Linked DNA regions of Kluyveromyces lactis. The protein of the gene in region 1 interacts with the protein of each later gene in a pairwise test. Links are inferred from orthologs where the notes say so. Each region holds a gene or a part of one and is shown in the gene's direction. Other genes may lie near its edges. The genes, in order: RAD51, ATP11 and MEX67.

Region 1 (2,653 bases):
TATGGCAATTTTCTGTATGTGATTCTATCCCTACACTATGTATAATCCTCTGCTTAAAGCCCTTTGACATACGCAAAACACCTTTCAATTCTTCTCTATCCAAGGTAGAAGCCAAGGTTCAAGCGGTCAGCGAAGAATTCAAGGATTCCCCCACAAAAAAATATCCGAGACAGAAAGGCTGAACTTATTAATAAGACGTTCTTGAGAACTTGGCGATCAAATCTATCGCTGTTTAATAGTGCCTGATGTAACGGTTGGCCATTTTAAAATTCCTTTTAAGATTTCATTTTGGCAACAATTTCGATATTTCTTTTCATATTATTGCCTAATTCTGATATAAAAGTAAAGCCGCTAAGAAAAGCCGCTAAGGAAAGACGCAGTGAGACAAAGATCAACATCTATTGTACATGATAACACTGCAAGTAATATGGCTTTCTACAAACATATATGGCTCACTACTTTATATTTATCAGTACTATGTAGAAAAGATGGAAGACAGAACAAGCAATGCACTGCATGTGTTACACTTAAACCTTTCGAACTCAGTTCCGGTGATGGTCATGATGGGGAGGACCATGATGAGATAATCTTTCTTGATCCACCACCCACCGCAATATGACATGTGACTGAAGAGTCACGTGCCATGTAAATAAACACTCTTCAGGGACTGTTTACCATTTTAATTTGTTTTGGTTTGAAATTTGAATAAAAAAAACAAAACACCAAAACACGAAAAAGGCTATATAATTTAATTATTAATTACATTACATGAGACATCATTAATCAATTACGTTCACTTTTCTTGGGAGAAGCAGTTTTCTATCCTAGTTGTGAAAGGGTATTGTAGTGGTTATAAGGTCGCTTGAACCAGGCTAAATTGACTCCACAGAATTAGAAATGTCACAGGTGGAAGAAGTTCAGACTACTCAGGGCCATTCTCAGTTGATGGTCTCACGAACCGAAGAACAGATGGAAGATGTTCAGCAAAGAATTCAGGAAACGGATTTTATGGCTGAAGAAGACGATGTGGCTCTAGCCGCCTTTGTCCCAATAGAGAAATTGCAGGTGAACGGTATCACTTCTGGTGATATCAAGAAACTAAGAGAAAGTGGGTTACACACAGCGGAGGCGGTGGCATATGCCCCCAGAAAAGATTTAATGGAGATTAAAGGTATATCAGAGGCTAAAGCTGATAAGTTACTCGCTGAAGCGTCGAGACTAGTGCCTATGGGTTTTGTCACTGCGGCTGATTTTCATTTGCGTAGAAACGAAATGATCTGTTTAACTACTGGATCGAAAAATCTTGATACTCTACTTGGCGGAGGGATAGAAACCGGATCTATCACTGAACTGTTTGGTGAGTTTAGAACTGGTAAATCGCAACTTTGCCATACATTGGCTGTCACATGCCAGATACCTTTGGATATGGGAGGCGGTGAAGGCAAGTGTTTGTACATTGATACGGAGGGTACATTCAGACCGATTAGGTTGGTTTCGATTGCGCAGAGGTTCGGTTTGGACCCTGACGATGCTTTAAATAACGTTGCATATGCAAGAGCTTATAACGCAGACCATCAATTGAAATTGTTGGACGCAGCTGCACAGATGATGAGTGAGTCAAGATTTTCGCTGATTATTGTCGATTCTATTATGGCATTGTACAGAACCGACTTCTCGGGACGTGGTGAGTTAAGTGCAAGACAGATGCACCTTGCCAAGTTCATGAGATCATTACAAAGACTAGCTGATCAGTTTGGTGTCGCAGCGGTAGTGACAAATCAGGTTGTGGCCCAAGTTGACGGAGGAATGATGTTTAACCCTGATCCAAAAAAACCGATTGGTGGTAATATCATGGCTCATTCCTCCACTACTCGTCTTGGATTCAAGAAGGGGAAAGGTCCACAGAGATACTGTAAAGTGGTAGACTCACCATGTTTGCCTGAAGCAGAATGTGTGTTTGCGATCTACGAGGATGGTATCGGAGATCCAAGGGAAGACGATGATTGATCTGATTCTCTTTACCTGGTTATTCATAACACCAAAAAAAAAAGAATAAAAAGAAAAATCCACATTTTTAATATAGCATTCAATTTCCTACGTTGCTAGTAAAACCCCACTGCGTATCTATCTTCTCATTTATTTGTTCATATCATTCGTGTTATAAATAGTCCATAGGGCACGTTATTCTATATGTATATTCATGCAAACCCTCTCTAGTTGTTAAATGCTCGCATAAAACGCATATAATTCCCTCAGCGAAAAGGGACGACTATCCTTTCATTTAAGGGACTTGCATATCATAGCTACAAACACTTCTCCATGTCAGTGTGCTATTAATAGGCTTGACTTCTTTTAATATTCTTTACCTCATCACACCGGAATTCCGAACGTCAACAATCTGAAGCGAAATTTTTGGAAATTTCACCATTTCCACATATAGACAAGAAAGAGTAATTTTGCATTTCTATATAAAACACGTTAACTTTGTAAAACAAAGGTTTGCGAGAGAACATATTCTGGCAAGAAACAGGAGGGACAGAGCGGAGAAGCGTGCTACCGATATATTAGACTTGTCACTAGGCACTCTGTTATTTGGGGTTTTAAGTACGACTCTTTTTTGATAATTTTTTTGACCGATTCTCGTGATATAATT
Region 2 (2,526 bases), about 1.1 Mb from region 1:
GATTCGGCGTATTGGCAAATTGTGCACTACCAGAGTTAGACACATTATCTCGTATTGTTTCGCTGAGCTGCTGGCTTTCCTGTAATTGTTGGTGTCTAAGGCGGTTCATTTGAGTATGTGGTAATATCGTTATGGAATCAAGAGGTGTTCGATCATCATCATTATCATCCAAAATTATTTCTGCTGGTTCTAAGTTAGCTGTACTAGGTACTGAAATAGGCTGCGGTCCATTATCAACGTCAGCTTCATCGCCATACCGCCTTTCCTCTTCCAAATCATCCTCCAACACATCATCGTCACCAATGTCTGAGTTCGAATTGACCAGTTCTCCGGTCTCCGCCAATCTTCGCGCCAGCATGCTTAGAGCGTTACTTGATTCAGTGGCAGTACTATCAGATTTTTGACGTTCATGCTCGAATTCAAATACCAACTGTTTGAAGGTTTCGAAATTCGTTACCTTCACGCTACCATATTTAAGATAAACAGAACAAAGCTTATCAAACCTCCTTTTCAATGTCCTAGTTTGCCTGTAATTTAATCCAGATCGCCTATTAAACTCCTTGAGCAAAGTGTTCCATGATTTCATCCTATGGCTATGTGTTTGAAGATGTGGCTTGTATTCTCCCAAAAGAGACACCAAGAGTTCATCCAAATTAGAATGCGAATATATGTGTGACATGTAGGTTAGATTTCGATATTAAAAAGTAGCAGAAAAGGGAAGTATCAAGGTGTGATAACTTCACACCGCAATTCAGTGTGACAATATACTGTTTCAAGTCACACCTAACTCATATTTCTCATCCTCTCAATTTCTTCTTGCATGTATCTTATCTGAACCGGTATACGCTGATTAGAATTTACCTTTTTCTTTAAAAGTTATGAAAAGTGATATTGGAACAAAGTTACTATTACCAACTTTAATGAGATACGGAAGAATTCACTGGAAATAGGTTACTGTAGAGAGTAAGTTCACTAGTTGAAAGAGGATACCTATCAACACAACTTGTGAATCTATCCAGGTAATTTTTCGGACACATGATAAAAAGCTGGACCCGTGTTGTTAAAAGATCGGCCTCGCAACTATCTGCTACGCAATTCAAACGTATTATTGGTGCGTCATCAATCCAATCAAACTCTAGTTACTCTACTGATTCATTAGAACAACAGTACAAGGACAAGCTTTTGGACAAGGCTCGCGAACAAGGTTTTAATAGCATTGAGGAACTTAAGAATTCTTTGAAAGAAGAAATTGAAAAGAAGAAACTCGAGTTAAACAGAATTGATCCACTGAAAGAATTGGAAGACTACGAACAAAGAACCAAAATGTCATCTAACATTGCTAAGTCCCGTGGTCCGATTGATCCATCTATGCCAAAACAGCCGTTTAAGACTTTGGACAGCTTTTTGGATGTGGAAAAAGTGAAAAACCTCTCTAAACAAGAATGCGAATTTCTTTGGAGAGCCAGATGGGCCAATAAGGACAATGTATTGAACGCTGTTGTTCCAATCGATATCTGGGAAAAGATCAGTGCCTTAGCCAAAGAAAACCCATTCTTCGTTATCCCTTTGCCAAGAGAGCGTGCAGTTGAAGAAACTGCTGCTGAATCTGCAGAGAAACAAGAACCGGCCATGGAAATGCATTACATTCAGTGGCAATTTGTAGGACCTAAAACCGTCCACTGTATTATGACTACTCTAGCAGAGTATAAATTGCACAAAGAATTTGCAAGACCTCATACTACTCTACAGTTCCACTTGGATTTGGCCAAGGAAAAGAACATTGTATTGATGAACGGCCAAGTTGAATCTGATTCTAATGTTTCCCTACCAGAATCTCAACTATTGCTTTTGAACGTTCAAAGATTCTATGGTGCTATGGGACAAGACTCCGGGTTTGCCCAAAAGAGGGTCCAACTTTTGAAGGATTTTACCAACGGATCTCCAAACTTCAATGTTGATCTATTAGTTGCTCTTTCTCAAGTTATGGAGTAGTGGAAGATTCCTAATACATTTATATATATTTATATACATATATATATACATGTCGCTTGTATAAAGAAAACATTCCATCATACTCGATCTATGCTAACAGCATGCGGTTTTGAGTAGCAGCAGGCTGTGGTTCGAGGTTGGGCAGCATGCGTTGGAATGGCTTTCTTCTTAGTCACGTGTACTTCATCAAAATGAATTTCACCACTATGACTAAGTGTGGTCCAGAAGTGCTACGAGCATATGGATGCATCGATGACCCAACCTATGAGTAGAATCGATTGAATTCGTTCTGCTCAAACAGTACAAAGCCCCGACAGTAGTTGCACATTGTACACTGTTTGCTGGAAGTTGGAATATCTCCTTGTTTTACTTCTACTACATTTATAATGGCGAAAGTATTGTTCTTGGGCCCTGTGGGAACATATTCACATCAAGCAGCACTCCAACAATTTCCAAACGAGGAGCTAATACCGGTGACATCTATCCCTGCATGTTTCGAAAAGCTCATTTCAGACATAGATATGGACTACGGGG
Region 3 (3,767 bases), on another chromosome or scaffold:
ATAATGTTAGCGATGTCCACGGAAGACAATTCTGGGAATTTCAATTGGAATTCTTTTGCTTCAGAGATCCATTTAATGATTAAGTCTGGCACAACAACATAAGATGGTTTGAAGTTGAACATTTTGTCAACGAAGTGAGATGCTGTTTCAGAATGAATACCGTGTTTTGTGTACTCTTGCGAAGTGCTCCACCATTTAGAAACTACCATGGGTAACACAAACGCAAGTAGAATGAAATATGCAAAAACAACAAATGGGGAAGTACCTCCTTCCACCAAGAACTTGGGCAAAGCGATACCGTGAGAAGTAGATTGAGGACCATCTGGATGACCATACTTTCTATAATTTTCCTTCGTAATTTCATCAGTTAAAGCCTTATAAGCCTTGTTAATCATCACGAACTGTTCCTCCATAGCCGTTCTTTCAATCTCATTTAGGTCCTTGGAAAGCTTATCGGGATGGAATTTGACAGATAATTTCCTGTATGCAGACTTGATCTCTTTATCGGTAGACGAAAGCGTCACACCAAGTAACTCATATGGATCAAAAGCCGCTGCTGCAATCTGATAGATAGCATCGTTGGAACGAATATGATAAATCAACATCGAAATGAGCACCCAACCAACGGTAATGAAGTAAATTCCCTTCTTGGACCTTTTCTTCTTATTAGCAAGTCTATATTTCCGAACTTCTTCTGAAGTATATTTTTCGTGCAATTGACTCCATTCTGATGAAGAACTCTTATCGCTGGAGTCCCCAACAATCAATCTATACAGCTCAATCAATGTTACCGGTGTAACAGCCACAAATAACACCGTGAGTACGAAAAATGGCCATGTGGTGCTTGCCTCATCGTAATCATAATTCTGCGGCATGGCGTCGTTGTCTGTTCGTCTGCTTGTCTGTTGTAGAACCAAAAGACTGCCAATAAATTAAGCCGCTACAATAAAACACACAGCAGGCAGCAATCAAAAAAAGTGAACCACAGTGTACTATTAAACAAAAAAGCCTTCAAACTGCAAACAATTATTCCTCTGATCTAGAAAAGTAGTTAACAGTTAACTTATTTCGATTTTAATATGCCAGTCTGTATTTTCCAAAAACCTTTGGGTTTTTTTCCTTCTGTTTGAAACACTATACGTATTCAATACGGCAGAGCTTAGAAGAACAAATAGAAGAGAAAGACCAAAAAAAAAAAAGATATTTATACGTCACGTGCTCGTAATATATCACATGACCTTGAATTTTCTGTTTCGATTTGGTCGATCATCTCTTTCTACTAAACTGAAGAATAAAATTAAAAAAAAAAATGCTAAAAACCTAGAAATAATCAAAAAATGTGCTAGTCTCATTGGTAATTGAGATGGGAATAGAGATTGAAAGATGAGGCTCACCGGGTTAACCGATTTGGTTGAGAAAAGTCTTGTGATATAGCGTTACTAGAGTGATGCAAGTTAGTGGTTTTGGTAACGTGAATCAGATTGGTGCTTTGGCACAGCAAAACCAATTGGATAACTTAGTCAGCGTTAGCATTCGTGGATGGACTAACGCTACTCAACAGGATTTGTTGAATTTCATTTCGAGAAAGACCAGGATCTCAGTGAGAAACTCTGTGGTTCAAGGGGACACTATAGTTGGTTATGTGACACCGCAGGAGGCAGATCAATTGGTGAAATTTAGTGGGTACCGGTTTGCAGGCAATTCATTGAAGATTCACAAGGCAGCCGGTGGGAACACAAACCCTAATACGAATGATACGATAACCGTTCTTCGTAATGTGCTTTTGAGAAGATATAATGTGCAAACGAGGATGTTGGATCTTGGTAATTTGTTCAATGATCCGGAGTTGGTGCAACGCGGTATGGCTCCGAAAAATGTTAATACGCAGTCCAAGATGTTCCCGGCTATGATGAAAGTGGCTTCAAAGGAGCCTAGCATGGTTGTTGAATCGATCAACCTATCTGATAATAATTTGAGAGACGTCAATGGTGTTACCACGTTGGCACAGACTTTCCCTCATTTGAAAAACCTATGCATCGCCAATAATAGTATTAGTCGATTCCATTCTCTTGAAGTTTGGAAGAATAAATTCAAAGAGTTGAGGGAGCTTCTGATGATGAATAATCCAATTACATCGGATCGTTTATATCGTACAGAAATGTTAAGGATATTCCCCAAATTGGTGATTCTAGATAACGTTGTCGTTCGTGACGAGCAGAAACTACTGTCTATCTATAGCTTACCGGTACAACAAACCCAGTTCTTTTTCGAAGATAATGGATTGGCATCATCGTCAACAGATTTTATTACCAACTTCTTGAACTTGTGGGATTCGAATAGAATGCAATTGATGGGTTTGTACACTCCACAGTCTCAATTTTCCTTAAGTGTTGATTCTTCCGTTCCAGCTGCTACTGTACCTAATGCTCAAACGACTCCTACATTCGGTCATTACTTACCATTTTCAAGAAACATTTCCAAGATATCTAGCGACAAGACCATCCAAGAACGGTTACGTATAGGGCCCGAAGCAATTTATGAAGTGTTCGGATCTCTCCCTATGACAAAACATTTTTTGCAAGAACAACCTGATGCTTACTCTGTGCAAGCCTGGACCTTCCCACAAGTTCAAGGGTTTGTTATCACTCTTCATGGCCATTTCGATGAAACTGCCAAACCTGAAATTGACAAGAGCAAAACATCACAAGGATCATCTGCCTCTAGAGGAAGGAGATACAACCATGGATTTACGTCTACGCCGAACATCAAACTTTCACAGAAATCCTTCGATAGAACAATGGTCTTAGTTCCAAGTCCAAATGGTAGTGTCATCATTGCATCTGATTCGTTGACGATAAGGCCATTCTGTGATAGCGCTTGGTCTAAACCACCTTCTCCACCACATCTCCAAGCTCAATCTGTGCAACATCAGCCACAAATGAACGTGCCCCTCTCACAAACTCCGCCAAATACATCATCCATTCCTGGCCAAATCCCGGGAGTTCTTGGATCGACACCTTTGCAATTCTCACCGGAAGTGCAAGCAAAATTGTCACCTGTACAATTAGAACTACTTCAGAAGTTACACCTTGAAACAAAGCTTAACGCTGAGTACACTTATATGCTTGCCGAGCAAAGTCTTTGGAACTATGATAATGCTATCCAAGGATTTAGAAACAGTGCAAACAATCTACCCAGAGAGGCATTCATCTAAAAGTATTGAGCTAATCATGTGCGCTTCTTTAAAAAAGAACATCTTAATTCATTCAGTATAATATATAGTTGCATCTCACACAAATAAATTAAACTAAGTATATCCATCTATTTATATCAGTTGGATTCAAGGTGACTTGACTCTGTGACTATTTTTTATCATATATCCTGTTTGTCACAAAGTGTACGTCAATAAAAAAAGGGCCTAACATTCAGAACATTATACTAGCCAATGAACTCTTAAGCAAATTACAAATTGTGATTATAAGCTCACTACAGTTTTGCTGAAAACTCACTATTCCAAGGCAATATAACTACATTAAATGAGATCGATACCAGAACCTCGCCAATCAAAATATAATCGATTTAGAAGGTTATTTAATAAGGTGCATAATTGTGTCACTTTGAAAAGATTGAAAAGGCGATGGAACCTACACAAGTTGAAGAAGAGCTCAAGGAATACAAATCAGAGATCTGCAATCCCAATAGACCGTATTGCTAATCTTCCTACTGGTATGTCGCATAAATCGAGTAACATGAAACCATTGCTTCTA

The links.
Region 2: the proteins of RAD51 (region 1) and ATP11 interact in a two-hybrid assay, tested with the Schizosaccharomyces pombe proteins (2 studies listed by BioGRID). The link is inferred for Kluyveromyces lactis from reciprocal best matches to the Schizosaccharomyces pombe genes rad51 and atp11.
Region 3: the proteins of RAD51 (region 1) and MEX67 interact in a two-hybrid assay, tested with the Schizosaccharomyces pombe proteins (2 studies listed by BioGRID). The link is inferred for Kluyveromyces lactis from reciprocal best matches to the Schizosaccharomyces pombe genes rad51 and mex67.

The regions. Positions count from the first base shown.
Region 1 is NC_006041.1:1,798,434-1,801,086, forward strand, and holds RAD51 (recombinase RAD51), read left to right. Parts: upstream 1-897; coding exon 898-2,007; downstream 2,008-2,653. UniProt on the Schizosaccharomyces pombe protein: Required both for recombination and for the repair of DNA damage caused by X-rays. Binds to single and double-stranded DNA, in the presence of magnesium, and exhibits DNA-dependent ATPase activity.
Region 2 is NC_006041.1:652,943-655,468, reverse strand, and holds ATP11 (Atp11p), read left to right. Parts: upstream 1-1,035; coding exon 1,036-1,992; downstream 1,993-2,526. Other genes in the region: DAL82 (Dal82p), read right to left, coding at 1-679; prephenate dehydratase PHA2, read left to right, coding at 2,379-2,526. UniProt on the Schizosaccharomyces pombe protein: Essential for the assembly of the mitochondrial F1-F0 complex. May interact with the alpha and/or beta subunits of F1-ATPase.
Region 3 is NC_006039.1:845,749-849,515, reverse strand, and holds MEX67 (Mex67p), read left to right. Parts: upstream 1-1,447; coding exon 1,448-3,214; downstream 3,215-3,767. Other genes in the region: protein-transporting protein SEC63, read right to left, coding at 1-875; OSW1 (Osw1p), read left to right, coding at 3,537-3,767. UniProt on the Schizosaccharomyces pombe protein: Involved in the export of mRNA from the nucleus to the cytoplasm.